Macaca mulatta: one gene and its partners. The protein of the gene in region 4 purifies or fractionates together with the protein of the main gene of each other region. This does not show direct contact. Links are inferred from orthologs where the notes say so. Each region holds a gene or a part of one and is shown on either strand. Other genes may lie near its edges. The genes, in order: RRM2, NUSAP1, CDC6 and CCNF.

What was found.
Region 1: the proteins of CCNF (region 4) and RRM2 purify together in Homo sapiens (affinity purification with western blotting; 5 studies listed by BioGRID and IntAct, with this or other methods). This does not show direct contact. The link is inferred for Macaca mulatta from reciprocal best matches to the Homo sapiens genes CCNF and RRM2.
Region 2: the proteins of CCNF (region 4) and NUSAP1 purify together in Homo sapiens (affinity purification with mass spectrometry; 3 studies listed by BioGRID, with this or other methods). This does not show direct contact. The link is inferred for Macaca mulatta from reciprocal best matches to the Homo sapiens genes CCNF and NUSAP1.
Region 3: the proteins of CCNF (region 4) and CDC6 purify together in Homo sapiens (affinity purification with western blotting; 4 studies listed by BioGRID and IntAct, with this or other methods). This does not show direct contact. The link is inferred for Macaca mulatta from reciprocal best matches to the Homo sapiens genes CCNF and CDC6.

Annotation. Positions count from the first base shown.
Region 1 is NC_133418.1:114,702,011-114,706,335, reverse strand, and holds the start of RRM2 (ribonucleoside-diphosphate reductase subunit M2), read left to right. Parts: upstream 1-1,511; 5' UTR 1,512-2,003; intron 2,004-2,589; exon of another isoform or gene 2,590-3,852; 5' UTR 3,853-3,896; coding exon 3,897-3,995; intron 3,996-4,079; coding exon 4,080-4,154; intron 4,155-4,325. UniProt on the Homo sapiens protein: Provides the precursors necessary for DNA synthesis. Catalyzes the biosynthesis of deoxyribonucleotides from the corresponding ribonucleotides. Inhibits Wnt signaling.
Region 2 is NC_133412.1:18,723,370-18,726,773, reverse strand, and holds part of NUSAP1 (nucleolar and spindle-associated protein 1), read right to left. Parts: intron 1,364-3,404; coding exon 1,255-1,363; intron 1-1,254. UniProt on the Homo sapiens protein: Microtubule-associated protein with the capacity to bundle and stabilize microtubules. May associate with chromosomes and promote the organization of mitotic spindle microtubules around them.
Region 3 is NC_133421.1:64,677,201-64,680,762, forward strand, and holds part of CDC6 (cell division control protein 6 homolog), read left to right. Parts: intron 1-433; coding exon 434-534; intron 535-1,043; coding exon of another isoform or gene 1,044-1,290; exon of another isoform or gene 1,291-1,430; intron 1,431-1,781; coding exon 1,782-1,846; intron 1,847-3,562. UniProt on the Homo sapiens protein: Involved in the initiation of DNA replication. Also participates in checkpoint controls that ensure DNA replication is completed before mitosis is initiated.
Region 4 is NC_133425.1:3,661,000-3,665,141, reverse strand, and holds the start of CCNF (cyclin-F), read right to left. Parts: upstream 2,802-4,142; 5' UTR 2,771-2,801; coding exon of another isoform or gene 2,755-2,770; exon of another isoform or gene 2,688-2,754; intron 1,143-2,687; coding exon of another isoform or gene 988-1,142; intron 1-987. UniProt on the Homo sapiens protein: Substrate recognition component of a SCF (SKP1-CUL1-F-box protein) E3 ubiquitin-protein ligase complex which mediates the ubiquitination and subsequent proteasomal degradation of target proteins.

The DNA of each region.
Region 1 (4,325 bases), on a different chromosome or scaffold from region 4:
AGTGGGAATTACAGGCGCCTGCCACCACATCTGGCTAATTTTTGTATTTTTAGTAGAGATGGGGTTTCCCTATATTGGCCAGGCTGCTCTCAAACTCCTGACCTCAGGTGATCTGCCTGCCTCAGCCTCCCAAAGTGCTGGGATTACAGGCGTGAGCCTCCAAGCAGGGCCTAATAAAGCCTTTTCACCTAACTTCCAGTGTAGAGTCCAGGGGTCAGGAAAACAAGTTAATTGACACCGTGAATAAACAATCAGGCAAATGTAGGATGTGGGACATTCTACAAGAAAACTGGCCTGTACTTCAAAGCCAATGTCGTGGGGAAAAGAAGTGGAAGAGCTTTATTAAGAGTCTAAAGCAACATAATAACCAAACGCAATGCATGTACTTAATTAGATCCTGCATAAAAAAAGTAAATCCAAAAAACTATGAGACATTTTTGAAACAATTGGAAAAACAGGAATATGGACTGGATATTAGGTGATACTGGAGTATTGTTAGTTTTCCTAGGGATAAATGTGGTATTGTGGTGATGTTAGAGAGTGTCCTTATTTTTAGGAGCTGAAACGTTTAGGGGTAATGGGTCATGATATCTATCACTTTCAAATGATCCATAAAAAAGCATAAGCCTCACACACCCACAGAGGGGGTGTCTGCCATATTTGCCATGAGGCAAATATGGCAAAATAGAAACAGCTGTTGAATCCTAGGTAGTGGGCGAATGCTAGCAATCGTTCCATTATTCTGTATGTTGAAAACATTCATAATAAAAAGTTAGGGTAGAAACGTTCTGCTGTGCAGTTGTGCTGTGCGACCTTGGGCAGTTTCCTTGCCTCTCAGGTCTTCATTTCCTCACCTATGAAACGGGGTTAAAAATACCAACCCCGGTGGGACGGTGGCTCACGCCTGTAATCTGAGCATTTTGGGAGGCCAAGGCGGGTGGAGGGCTTGAGCCCAGGGGTTCAAGACCAGCCCGGGTGACATACCGAGAACCCATCTCTACAAAAAATTTAAAAATTAGCCTGGCAGAGTGGTGCATGCCTGCAGTCCTAGCTACTTGGGAGGCTGAGGTGGGAGGATCGCTTGAGCTCGGAAAGTTGAGGCTGCAGTGAACTATGATGCAGCCACCAGCCTGGGCAACAGAGCGAGACCCTGTCTCAAAACAAAAAAACCAAAAAACTAAAACAAAACAAAACAAAACAAAAAAAACCCAGCCTCACACGATCCAGGTGCCCAGAGGCTGTGGGTGCTGCAGCCGTAATTATTATTATGACCACCTTCGGCACGGCGTCTGGTACACAGTGAGTGCTGAGCTCCCCGGGCCGCGGTTTTTCCACCCTAATGGTGGACAGGTAGGAACAGCCTTTTGGAAGTCGCGCTAACCTTGGCCAGGGACCTGCAAACCTGTCCGGGCTGGGGGCGTATGAGCGGGAGAGCGCGCAGCGGAAACGGGGCGGGGCACCTGAGGCTGGGAATGCAGAGGAGCCTTCCGGGGAACGGGGCGGGGCCTCCCGTGCAGACCAATGGTGTAGATGCAGATGTCAAAACGCGCGCTCAAGTGGCTCCCGCCAGGAATCCCGGGGCTTAGGGAGGCGGAGGGAGGATCGCTTGAGGCCAGGAGTTTGAGATCAGCCTGGGCAAACAAGCGAGACCCTTGTCTGTTCACTTAAATAAAACCAAAAAAACGAGCACCGACGGAAAAAGGAGTAAATCCCGGCGCTAGCAGCAGCCCGGCGCCTGCGGCGGCGGCGGCGGGCGCCCTCCCGGGAGTGGCTGCTTTGCCCGACCCCCCAGAGGCGGAACCTTCCGCATTGCCGCGTGGCCGTGGGCGCCGCCACCTCCGCAGCGGGGCAAAGATGCCGGACCTGGAGGGAGGAGGGCCACGCCGAGATGACTCAGGTTCAGCGCGGGAGGGGAGGATGGCGACTTCACCTGGCCTCTAACACGTACGCATCTTTCCGCGCCTTCTACAATGGCTGTTAATTACGTGGCCAGGAACTAAACTGTAAGTGAAGCCACCTCTGGCTATTTCAGTTAACAGTGAGTTTAACAGGAGCAAAAAAGCACGTGGCGCCGTAGGGCAACCAAAACCAGGGCTTTAGACGTTGATTATGGGACATTGAAATCTGAGTTGAGTATTACACCAAGAAATTATAATTTTGTTAGATAATAGCTTTATCAGCCATAAAGTAATCAATAAAAATACCAATTTCCTGGAGATGGATGCTTTAGTGTGTTTGGGGGTGAAACTGGCAATGGATGGCAAGTTGCTTTAAACAAATCATGCTACACCAAAGTTTTGGTTGTGGCTTTGTGTAAGGAATGTGATGGTCACTTATCCCTGCAACACGAGAATACTTTGAATACAAGTCCGTAGTACTTTTAAGAAATGAGAGAAACAGACCTAGATGGGGAGGGTATCTGTCCAACCCCACCCTCTATAAAGTATCTAGAAAAGGCTTTGTAAAAAGTCCCGAGTCTCTCAATAACAGCCCTGAGTGCAGCTGTTGAAGCTTTCTCAGGTTAATGATTTCTTCTTGGATCTTAAAGTTTCTTTCTCTTCCTTTATTTTTGGCATTTTGCCGTTGCAGGGCCTGGCAAATCGGAAAGCCACATAGACAATTAAATGAAAGCTGTTGCTAAGTTCCAGGCTCTACCTCAGTGTTTTCAAACTCCTCTTCAGCATATTTGATGCCCAATGAGTAGTACATTAAATCCTAGTTCTAAAATCATTCTGTGAACTTTCTCCCAGGAATTTTTGCTCAGTTTGCAATTAAAACAAGTTTTTTTTTTCTTTTTTTAATGGGGGCGGGGTCTCACTATGTTGCCAAGGCTGGTCTCCAGCTCTTGGCCTCAAACAATCCTCCTGCCTCGGCCTCCCAAAGTGCTGGGACTACAGGCGTGAGCCACCGCGCCCAGCCACAGTTTGCAATTCTTAAAGCAAGGGTGACAATAGGGGACAGGGGTCTGACAGGAGACAGGATTTCTGTGGAAAATTGCACCAAGGGCCTTCTCTCCGTGTCCTGGAGTTTGAAGGTTTACGAAGGACTGCACATTTTACATGAGTCATCTCAACGAATGCTCTCCTCACCACATTAACACCCCACGCGGTGACGAGTCCCATTTTACTCAGGGGGACGCCGAATCTGTAAGAAGCCTGGTCGCATGTCCCAGTCACAACAAAACGAGCCGCGGGGCTCAGCAGCCCTAACTTTTAGGCTGTAGGGTCCTCGCCGACCACCCCGCCCAAATGTCAGGGCTCGGGGCCCTTGCACTCCCACCCCAGGGACACAGATCGAAAGGGTCGCAGCAACGCCTCCCCCGACCCAGGAGCGTCTTCCAGGCCTTTGCACCAACCTCGTTGGCAAAGTCTCCTGCCCTGCGGCGGCGCGGCTGGGAGGAGGCGCTTTTGGGAAGCGCGCCCGCGGGCTCCAATCGCTGCGCCTCACGCAATCCCAAACGGTTCCCGGGCGAACCGGGGCCCGCGCGCGCCAACGCCGCCGAGACTCTCAGGGACTGCGGTCCTGGTCCCGTGGGACCTGTGGAGGCCCGGGCGGCGGCGCCCCCGACCCAGCCAGCGGACGGAGCGGGGGGAACCGGGAGGTCCCGGGGGGCGTCCACGGGGGTGTCCCCGGTGGTCCCCGGAAGGCGCCGGCGGAGGCTCCCGCGCTGCGCTTGAAAATCGCGCGCTGTCCCGCGGCCAGCCTGGGTGGGGTCAAGGTGCAGCCAATGGAAGGGTCGGGGGCACGGCACAGCCAATGGGAAGGGCCGGGGCGCCAAAGCGAATGGGAAGGGCCGGCACGGGAGATTTAAAGGCTGCTGGACCGAGGGGTCGCCCGTGCTTCGCGTCCCAGCCATCCTGTTCTGGCCTGTCGCTGTACTTCGCTGCGCCGCCACTATGCTCTCCGTCCGCATCCCGCTCGCGCCCATCACGAACCCGCAGCAGCTGCAGCTCTCGCCGCTGAAGGGGCTAAGCCTGGTAGACAAGGAGAACACGGTGAGCGCGCGGGGAGGGTGCTGCGGACCGGGGAGGGAGGCAGGGAAGCGAAGCCGCCTCCGACTCACACACGTCTCCCTGCAGCCGCCAGCCCTGAGCGGGGCCCGCGTCCTGGCCAGCAAGACCGCGAGGAGGATCTTCCAGGAGCCCGTGGAGCCGGTGAGTGACGGGCGTGGGGCAGAGGGGCCAGGGGCGGCCTTGGGCGTCTTGGCGCCAAAACCGCATTGTCTCCTCAGCTGTTCACACTCCCGCGCCGGTTCCTTTCCCGCCTACGCGGCCCCTCCCCAGGGCGACCTCCCGTGCCCCTCGGCCCATTTCCCGGTTTGGGCG
Region 2 (3,404 bases), on a different chromosome or scaffold from region 4:
GATTACAGGCGTGAGCCACCTCACTCAGCCAACTTAATAACAGCGAGCAAAGGCCTTGGCGCAGTCATGTATAGCCATGAGTCAAATGATAGGTAACCCTGTGTCATGAGGGTCCAAGCAGGGAATCTGGGCCCAACCATGATTTGCTACAACCTAGGATGAGCTCTGGCTTTAACTTGGTTTTCATGCTGAAGGAAGCCTCTAAGGACCGTCCTGGGTGCTCCTCTTTATAGGGCCTTGATGCCTTGTAAGCCTGGCTTCCTTAGGAGTGAGGAATTGATGTCTATCTGGATACGTAGGTGCCCTGGACTGCTGGGCATTGGTATCAGGAGAGATACCCACATGCCCTGTGTTGAGGCAGATGAGTCATGCAAGAGCAGTGCTCTGAATCTGGGTCTTCTTCTGAATCACCTGCAGAGCTTTGGAAACAATGCAGGTGCTTGGGCCTCACCCCAAACCTGCTGATTTGGAGTCCATTACACTGGAACATGTACTCAGAAAGTTCTATATATGATGCTACTTCTTTTCTTTTCTTTTTTTTTTTGAGATGGAGTCTCACTCTGTTGCCCAGGCTGGAGTGCAGTGGCACGATCTCGGCTCACTGCAAGCTCTGCCTCCCGGGTTCCTGCCTCAGCCTCCCGAATAGCTGGGACCACAGGTGCCCGCCACCACGCCTGGCTAATTTTTTTTTTCATTTTTGTATTTTTAGTAGAGACAGGGTTTCACCATGTTAGCCAGGATGGTCTCGATCTCCTGATCTCATGATCCGCCTGCCTCAGCCTCCCAAAGTGCTGGGATTACAGGTGTGAGCCACCACGCCTGGCCCATGATACCACTTCTAACCTCCCCTTAAAACACCACTATTACTGAGTCTCTATCCCTCAGAGGTGCTGCTTTTGTTTTGTGTTTTTTTTTGAGGCGGAGTCTCATTCTGTCCCCTAGGCTGGAGTGCAATGGCCGGATCTCGGCTCACTGCAAGCTCCGCCTCCCGGGTTCACGCCATTCTCCTGCCTCAGCCTCCCTAGTAGCTGGGACTACAGGCGCCCGCCACCACGCCCAGCTAATTTTTTGTATTTTTTTTAGTAGAGATGGGGTTTCACCATGTTAGCCAGGACGGTCTCGATCTCCTGACCTTGTGATCCGCCCGTCTTGGCCTCCCAAAGTGCTGGGATTACAGGCTTGAGCCACCGCGCCCGGCCAAGGTGCTGCTTTTGAAATTAAAATAATTATAAAGCTGGATAATTATGTACTTACTTTGTCTGGAGATGGGGTTGTTTGTAAGTTTTCTTGTAGAAGTTAATTCTGTTGACATGTTGATTTAGATAATTATTTTCTTTAGATTGCCCCCATGGTTTTAGCTTTCCTAGTTTAGGACAGAGACAAAGAGTTTTAAGAAGATTGTTTGATTTATATTCCCAACTTCATTCCCTTCATCTGTGGTTACCTGCTATTGACAATTATACTTTTTTCTTTGAGACAGAATCTCACTCTGTTGCTCAGGTTGGAGTGCAGTGGTGTGATCTGATCTTAGCTCACAGCAACCTCCGCCTCCTGGGCTCAAGTGATCCTCCCAACTCAGACTCATGAGTAGCTGGGACTACAGGCACACACCACCATGCCCAGGTAATTTTTGTATTTTTTAGTAGAGACGAGGTTTTGTCATGTTGCCCATGCTGGTCTCGAGCTCCTGTTCTCAAGCAATCTGCCTGCCTTGGCCTCCTAAAGTGCTGGGATTACAGGCGTGAGCCACTGTGTCCAACCAATTTGCAATTTTACAAAAAAGAACTGGGACCCAATTTCTGGAAGTTTACGTGTTGCTTTTTTTTGGTTTTGTTTTGTGTTTTTTTTTTTTTTTTGAGATGGAGTCTTGCTCTGTCGCCCGGGGTGGGGTGCAGTGGCCGGATCTCAGCTCACTGCAAGCTCCGCCTCCCGGGTTTACGCCATTCTCCTGCCTCAGCCTCCCGCGTAGCTGGGACTACAGGCGCCCGCCACCTTACCCGGCTAGTTTTTTGTCTTTTTAGTAGAGACGGGGTTTCACCGTGTTGGCCAGGATGGTCTCGATCTCCTGACCTCGTGATCTGCCCGTCTCGGCCTCCCAAAGTGCTGGGATTACAGGCTTGAGCTACCGCGCCCGGCCTGTTTTGTTTTTTAAATTTTTTTTTTTTTGAGACGGAGTCTGGCTCTGTTGCCCAGGCTGGAGTGCAGTAGCGCGATCCGGGCTCACTGCAAGCTCCACCTCCTGGGTTCACGCCATTCTCCTGCCTCAGCCTCCCGAGTAGCTGGGACTACAGGCGCCCGCCACCTCGCCCGGCTAGTTTATTGTATTCTTTTTAGTAGAGGCGGGGTTTCACCGTGTTAGCCAGGATGGTCTCGATCTCCTGACCTCGTGATCCTCCAGTCTCGGCCTCCCAAAGTGCTGGGATTACAGGCTTGAGCCACCGCGCCCGGCCTGTTTTTTAAATTTAAATATAGTTTTTGTTTTTTTTTAATTTTTTTTTTTTTTTTGAGATGGAGTCTTGCTCATCGCCCAGGCTAAGGTGCAGTGGCGCCATCTCGGCTCACTGCAAGCTCCGCCTCCTGGGTTCATGCCATTCTCCTGTCTCAGTCACCCAAGTAGCTGGGACTACAGGCGCCCGCCACCGCGCCCGGCTAATTTTTTGTATTTTTTTTTTAGCAGAGACGGGGTTTCACCGTGTTAGCCAAGATGGTCTCGATCTCCTGACCTTGTGATCCGCCCGCCTTGGCCTCTCAAAGTGCTGGGATTACAGGCGTGAGCCACCGCGCCCAGCCTTTTTTTTTTTTTTAATTTTTTAGACGGAGCTCTGTTGTCCAGGCTGGAGTGTACTGGCACGATCTCGGCTCACTGCAACCTCTGCCTCTGGGGTTCGTGCAATTCTCCTGCCTCAGCCTCCCGAGTAGCTGGGACTACAGGCACACGCCACCGTGCCCAGCTAATTATTGTATTTTTAGTAGTCGAGACGGGCTTCAGTGGCTCTCTATAGGCACAGTCATAGCATACACTGCAGCCTTGAACTCCTGGCTGCAAGTGATCTTCCCAGTTCAGCCTTCCATATAGCTGGGAGTACAGGCATACATACTACTACACCTGGCTCTATGTCCTGCTTTTCTTTTTTATTGAGATAGGGTTTCACTCTGTTGCCCCGGCTGGAATGCAGTGGTACAGTCATGGCTTACTGCAGCCCAAACCTCCCTGGCTCATGCAATCCTCACATCCCAGCTTCCTGAATAGCTAGGATCACAGGCACGTGTCACCATGTCCAGCTAATTTTTAAATTTTTTGGTAGAGATAGGGTCTTGCTAAGTTGTCCAGGCTGCTCTTGAACTCCCAGGCTCAAGTCATCCTCTTGCCTGTGCCTCCCAAAGTACTGGGATTACAGCCATCA
Region 3 (3,562 bases), on a different chromosome or scaffold from region 4:
CCATGTTGGCCAGGCTGGTCTCGAACTCCTAACCTCAGGTGATATGCCTGTCTCGGCCTCCAAAGTGCTCAGATTACAGGTGTGAGCCACTGTACCCGGCCTCAAGTGCTTTCTTTAATGACTTTTAAAAAATAGGGCCTATGAAAAAACTTTTTCTGTTGAAAGTAACTAAATAGATATTTTATTTTTGCTAATTTCAGTTCTGATTGCTTTTTTTCCATTTATGAACTTCTACCACATCCATACAAAATGCTTAAATGTGTGAAAACTCTCAAATATCTCCATTATTTATGAGAAGAAAAGGCATCTTTTTGACCCTAAGGAGTTGCCAATCAAGTTTAGGGTTAAATGTGAAAATATTTATGCTTGGGACATAAATTACCGAGGGAGAATCTTATAGTTCAAACTGTCATATTCTATGTCTTGTCTTAAGGTATCTAGAGATCAGGTTCTGGACAATGCTGCAATTCAATTCTGTGCCCGCAAAGTCTCTGCTGTTTCAGGAGATGTTCGCAAAGCACTAGATGTTTGCAGGTGAGTTATGGCACTGTTGCCTCCTTTTATTAAAAAAAAAAAAGAAATGCTGTTAATTGTCTCATGTAACTCAAGTGAATGTGGCTTAAGAGGCTCTGTTCTGCTACTTTTTTACGCTCAGAAAGGAGGACTTGTTTCTCAGTGGGGAGCTCTGGATTTCCACCGTGTTAATGTCTGAAACATTATCAGTCCATTACCTACAGAGGGAGAAACAAATGAGATGTTGCTGGCACTCCCTGTGGTGATTATAGATTGGTTAATTACATTTGTATTAAAAAAGACTCCAGTTTACTTTTCCATTAGCTGGTCTCAAGCAGGTTTATTTATGGACCTGAACCATCTTTGCCTTTAGACTTTTTTCCTTCCTTTCCTTTTGTGAGCACCCCTTCTTCCCTCCAGTTGGTGGTCCCCCATAGTTGTACTCCAGACCTCTTTCTCCCTTCCCATCCCCCTGCCCCTCCTGCTGGGGAAAGCCTCTGTGCTGACTGATGAAATTTCTTCCTTCCCAGTAGGGACGCTGGGTCCATTAAAATGATACTTGCTGTGCTGGCCTGCTGGTCCAACCTCCCCCTATTGCCATGCAGAAGACCCAGGTCTGGCTTATGGCTTCCTGTGGGCAAAGTACTTTGGAGAGAGCAGTGGGAGAGTAAGCTCTTCCTATTGCTAGATTGCATGATCCTGAATTTGAAAGTTTCCCCTAATCAGCAAACTACTTGGGTAAAGACTGCAACTATGAGCAATAGTCATGTAGGCTAGGGTGGTTTAGCCTACACATATCCTATGTATTTATAACTGAAGATATCTCTTTTAGGTTTGGTGTGTATGGGTGGTGCTGGCTCCCTTTAGTTAGTCACCCACACTACATATCCTCTCTCCTACCCATGACATTTTCTCCTCATCCAAGATGTTATCATTGGCTTAATGTATGATGACCTACTTGGCATCTATTAGGAGGAAACCATTGAAGTTTCTCAAATCTGACGTCCATGAATAATTTCAAAGCAATTAAGTCCCCTTATCTGAGAAATAACCCAGTTTTGTTTGGGGGCTTTAAAATTACAAAACATCATAATTTTAAAGTTAGACATAGGATATGTATAGGCTAAACCATGTTAGCCTACATGACCATTGTTCATAGTTGCAGTCTTTAAGCAATAGTCATTAATGTGCCTGCTTTTGAGGCTGGTGATTTGGTATGGTGTTTGGTTTGGCTCACACTAAATTAATTTTAGAAATTTTTTTTATAGGAGAGCTATTGAAATTGTAGAGTCAGATGTCAAAAGCCAGACTGTTCTCAAACCACTGTCTGAATGTAAGTAGTTTATCTTCTTCTTGTCTTCCTTTGTAACTGGAAGCTTAGCTTTTCTGAGGAAAGAGGTAAAAAGATGAAATGAACATAGTTAAATCCAAAATCACCCATTTTTGTGTGTGTCTGTGTTTTTAGTCTGTTTCATCTACTTTATTTCAATCTTGCCTGCCAGTACTATAGTTCATGCATTACTGGAAATGAGTTCCCAGGGTATTGCGTAAATGGCTGGGACAGAGTAAGTTTTCTTTCCAAGCTCTAAAAATGAAACTTGTAGACAATGAGGTTGGATCAGCTCTCTAGGTGCTTATGTTGCGTGCACTTTAGGTCTCAATATAGGTGAAAGCAAAGCCTGATAAATAAGGGAGAATTGGGTAAAAGAATTGTGAGGCCGGCCGGGCGCGGTGGCTCAAGCCTGTAATCCCAGCACTTTGGGAGGCCGAGACGGGCGGATCACGAGGTCAGGAGATCGAGACCATCCTGGTTAACACGGTGAAACCCCGTCTCTACTAAAAAATACAAAAAACTAGCCGGCCGAGGTGGCGGACGCCTGTAGTCCCAGCTACTCGGAAGGCGGAGGCAGGAGAATGGCGTGAACCCGGGAGGCGGAGCTTGCAGTGAGCTGAGATCCGGCCACTGCACTCCAGCCTGGGTGACAGCGCGAGACTCCGTCTCAAAAAAAAAAAAAAAAAAAAAAGAAAAAAAAAAAAAGAGTTGTGAGGCCAGAGGCCCGGCGCGGTGGCTCAAGCCTGTAATCCCAGCACTTTGGGAGGCCGAGACGGGCGGATCACGAGGTCAGGAGATCGAGACCATCCTGGCTAATACGGTGAAACCCCGTCTTTACTAAAAAAATACAAAAAACTAGCCCGGTGAGGTGGCGGGCGCCTATAGTCCCAGCTACCCGAGAGGCTGAGGCAGGAGAATGGCGTAAACCCGGGAGGCGGAGCTTGCGGTGAGCTGAGATCCGGCCACTGCACTCCAGCCTGGGCGACAGAGCGAGACTCCGTCTCAAAAAAAAAAAAAAAAAAGAATTGTGAGGCTAGGTGTGGTGGTTCACACCTGTAATCCCAGCACTTTGGGAGGCCAAGGCGGGAGGATCGCTTGAGCCCAGGATTGTGAGACCAGCCTGGGCAATATAGTGAGACCTTGTTTCTACAACAAAATTTTAAAAATTTTGCAGCCATTAGAAATATGAGTTCATATCCTTTTTAGGGACATGGATGAAGCTGGAAACCATCATTCTTCAGCAGAGTAACACAGGAACAGAAAACCAAATACCACATGTTCTCACTCATAAGTGGGAGTTGAACAATGAGAACACATGGATGCAGGGAGGGGAACATCACATGCCGGAGCCTGTCAGGGGTGAGGGCCAAAGGGAGGGAGAGCATGCGGGACTTAAAACCTAGATGAGGGGTTGATGAGTGCAGCAGGCCATCATGGCACATGTATACCTATGTAACAAACCTGCACATTCTGCACATGTATCCCAGAACTTAAAGTTAAAAAAAAAAAATTAGACAAGCATGGCGTGTGCCTATAGTCCTAGCTACTTGGGAGGGTGAGGCAGGAGAATCACTTGAGCCGGAAAGGCAGTGGTTGCAGTGAGCTGAGATCGTGCCACTGCACTGCCAGCCTGGGCAACAAAGTGAGACTCTGTCTCAAAAGAATAATAAGAAAAATTATAAGTTCAACTTGGGATAGATATCTCAAGCTTTTAAA
Region 4 (4,142 bases):
CCTGACCTTGTGATCCACCCGTCTCGGCCTCCCAAAGTGCTGGGATTACAGGCTTGAGCCACCGCGCCTGGCCTTCTTATTCTTTTAAACACTATCTTTTAAGGGATGCAAATTTCACTGCCATAAAAGGGTACTTTTGGCCGGATATGGTGGTTTACGCCTGTAATCCCAGCACTTTGGAAGGCCGAGGTGGGCGGATCACAAGGTCAGGAGATTGAGACCATCCTGGCTAACATGGTGAAACCCTGACTCTATTAAAAATACAAAAAATTAGCCGGGTGTGGCGGCGGGCGCCTGTAGTCTCAGTTACTCGGGAGGCTGAGGCAGGAGAATGGCATGAACCCGGGAGGCGGAGCTTGCAGTGAGTGGAGATTGCGCCACCACACTCCAGCCTGGGCGGCAGAGCGAGACTCTGTCTCAGAGAAAAAAAAAGGTACTTTTCTGTTGACACTGTAATGAACAGAGGCAACTTTAGTGTGCTGGGAGACAGGAATGGAAATTTCTGTAATCAGAATGTCTTAAAGAAAGCATATGGTAATGGTAATGATATCATCCTTGTTTCCTTTTGCCCCCTTTTTTTTTTTTTTTTTTGAGACAGAGTCTTGCTCTGTTGCCCAGGCTGGAGACTGGAGTGCAGTGGTGAGATCTTGGCTCACTGCTTCAACCTTGAAAATGGTTCAAGCCATTTTCCTGCCTCAGCCTCTCTAGTAGCTGGGATCACAGGCATGAGACACCACGCCTAATTTTTGTATTTTTAGTAGAGACAGATTTCGCCAAGTTGGCCAGGCTGGTCTCGAACTCCTGACCTCAGGTGATCCACCCCCCCCCCTTGGCCTTTCAAAGTGCTGGGATTACAGGTGTGAGCCACCGTGCCCGGCCTCTGCCCGTGACCTCCTTTTTAGTCAAAGTTTTGTTCTGACAGTTAAGAACACAAGGCCTTGATGGTAACAGTGCTAGGGCTCATGCTGTTTTCATCCAGGGACTTACAGCTCGGACAGCCAGGATGTCCTCTACAGAAAGCCATTTCAGGATGTGAAAGAGCACATCTTCAGGGAGACTCAAGATGGTCAGGTTTCGGGGCCTCCTCCTTATTCTTCGCTTTGTAGGATAACAGAAACACTTGGCACACCTACAGTGAACCACTGAAGGAAAAAAAGACAGAAGTGTTGATAAGACGAAAAATTATTCTATATACATACCCTTGAAGGGAAAAAAAAAAGGATAAAAGTTACACCTGAAAATGATCTAATGGTTACGATTCCCTGTGCCACAAAAACGGAACTATGCTTCCTGTCCCAAACAAAGATTATGTAAAAGGAGTGGCATTGCACAAATTACAGAAGAGATCATTCATTTTCAAATATTCAACAAATATTTATGGCAAATAGCGCATATCATGTAACTTGGCTATTGGGAAACTTTCTGATCCAGAGCCCACATGACAGTCAGGAAGGGGAAAAAGCTGCTGAGGCTGATGACCGTTTTCCTTCCATTTCACTCTTAGGAAAACCCCTGGGGCCTTTGCTGGACATCTTTGCTTTTTGCACACATGACCAAGGTGCATAATGTTCAATAAGGATCTGTGGGCTTGTAGAGTCTGGTTTTCAATCCAAATTAGAAGGGTCAGCCCTGGAGAGAAGCCACAGGCTTGGAGGCCGGGGTAGTGTGCGTCCAAGTCAGCTCTGCAGAGTCTCAGTGTGCCCTCCACTGTAGAATGCAGAGTTGACAGCTACGCAGCAAGGTTGTTGCTCAGGTCCCAACACAAACCTAGACCTGTAGGTCTGTCTACAGGTGCAATCGTTAAAGGTGAGACGGGCTCTCCACCCACCAGGCAGGCAGCCCAGCCATGCTTCTCAGATGTGCTCTCTCCTCTTCCCACAGCCGGCTTTTCTAACTCCTACTCCAGCAACCCCTTCCTCACTCTAAGCAGATGACCTTAGCCCTTATTTCATAGAGAAACAGAAGCCCTCAGACAGGAACCTCAGGATCCTGCCTCCCCATCTACAAATCTACCTTTCTATCCATTCTTCCAGTCCTGAAAGGAAACGCCACTCCCCTCTGTGGGCCCAAATCCCTCCCCACCAGGACTTCCTAGCAATTGCTCCTTGCTCCCCTCTCCCGACCCGGGTCTTCCTGTCAGCAATTAAAAGAGCTGCAAAAGCCAAACGTATTCCAGGGCGACGAACTCTCAAAGATTCTATAGAGCTCTCCATAAAATATTCCTCATTCTCCGGCTCCCGGACAGATACTGTGATAATAGCTCAAACTACAGCTCGAGTTTCCTGTGCCTCATCGCGCGCGGGGCCGAACGCTGCTTTCCACAGAGCTAGGTCCACGGCCCCGCTGGACCGAGGCCCAGTCAGGGCCGGGCCGGGCCGCGGGATCGCTTCGACCCCACGCGCTCCGCAGCCCCAACCCCGACCAGGAGGCGCTGGTGTTTGGCTCCCCGGGACCCGATCGCCGCCCCGGGACCCGATCGCCGTCCGAGACCCGATCGCCGCTCCGGCAAAGGGCCGGAAAACGTCGCCCCGAGGGAAGGCGACGAGGGGCTCGGGCGCCCGCCGGGCATTTAAACCGCGCGCCCGGCCGCGGGGGCTCCCTGCGCCGGACGCGACACCCGCCCCGGGTTAAAGAGCTCGAGCCGGCCCTCCTCAGGCCGCCAGGGCCTCCCCTCCCGCGGGACCCACCGTCTGCCCCGCAGGGCAGGCAGAACGGCTGTGGGGCAGAAACCGGCGGGCATCGCCTCCCACTCACCGCCACCGCTCCCCATCGCCGCGCTCGCGTCTCTGTCGCCTGAGCCCGCCTGCGAGCGCGCCCGCGCCCCGGCTGGAGCGCGCGCGGAGCCCTCGCGCAGGCGCAGACCCCGCCCCACCGCCCACCCCAGTTTTCAAACGCGCCCGGCCCTCCCATTGGCCTGCCCGGGGGGGCCGCCGCCTGCCCCGCCCACGTCCCGCCCCGGGCTCGCCTTATTTACCGCCCTCCACGCCCACACTGCCTGCTCCGGGCGCCCGCCATTGGCCGCGCCAGGACGCGAATTCGAACATTGGTCGCTGACTGGTGGAATCCGCGTGGCCGCCCCGCCTCCCCAGCGGGGCTGGGGTCCTGGAGGAACGCGGCTCCCGGCCGGCGCGCAGGGGTTTCTAGGCGTCCTCTCCCGGCCGCATGGGTCCGGGCTTCGCCGCTGACCCCGGCGACTGGCATCTGCGGTGCCCGATGGGCTCCGAAGGCGCATGCCTGCGGCCAGGGGAAAGAGGACTCCTTGGCGTCCCTCGCAGTCGCGGCCGTGATCCAGCCTGGCACAGCCCCGACGTGGCGCTTCTAGAACGAGGCCGTGCCCTGCCCGGGTCCCGGGGTCGGTCCTGGGTCCGCGACCCTCACCCCCAGCCTGCACGGCCATCCTTTCCGCCGCCTGCTTCAGGTGGAGACCCTTGGGTTTGTGGCCGAGCCGCTGCTGGGCGGGGATGCTGGCCCGGATCGTGGTAGGGAAAGAGGAGGTCGGAGCTGGCGCTGGAAGTCTCCCCCGCGGAACGCTGACCCCTTCTTCCCGCGAATCGTGGCGCACCCTGGACGCCTCAGTGCCCCAGCCCCGGGGCAAGCCCTCCCCCTCACTTTGGCCAGATGCTGCCCCCTGTCTCGCCTCCTCGGCTGCTACCTGGTAGCTGCTCGCCGTGCGATCTGTCACATCTGCTCACTCCTGTCTTAGGCAGAGCTCATCCGAGCTGTCCTTCAGGAATCAGCCATACCCCACCCCTTTCACGGCACAGGCTGTCAAGGGGAAGACACGCAGCCTCCTGAGTGTCTGGTGGAGGACAGAGGGGCTTTTCCTGGGGAAGGCAGGGGCCTGGGCCAAGGCTGCCTACCCCTCCCTCACGCTTCCCTCAGTCTGCACCCTTCCATCCTTCTGAGTCCCCATAGAACCCCTTCAAGTACTGGGCCTGCCCTGGGCACACAGACAGGAGCCCTGGTGTGTAGGCTACAGCCAGCCTGGAGCAAGAGACAGAGCAAACAGGTGATCACAGCACAGGGCGCAGAAGAGTCCGTGGCCCCAGAGAGGGCCTGGAAGTTGGGACTATTCCCTGTCCTGGAATCAGGAAGCGGATGAAGGAGGGTGAAGAGAGAACAGGCTGAGCAAGTTTGGGTCC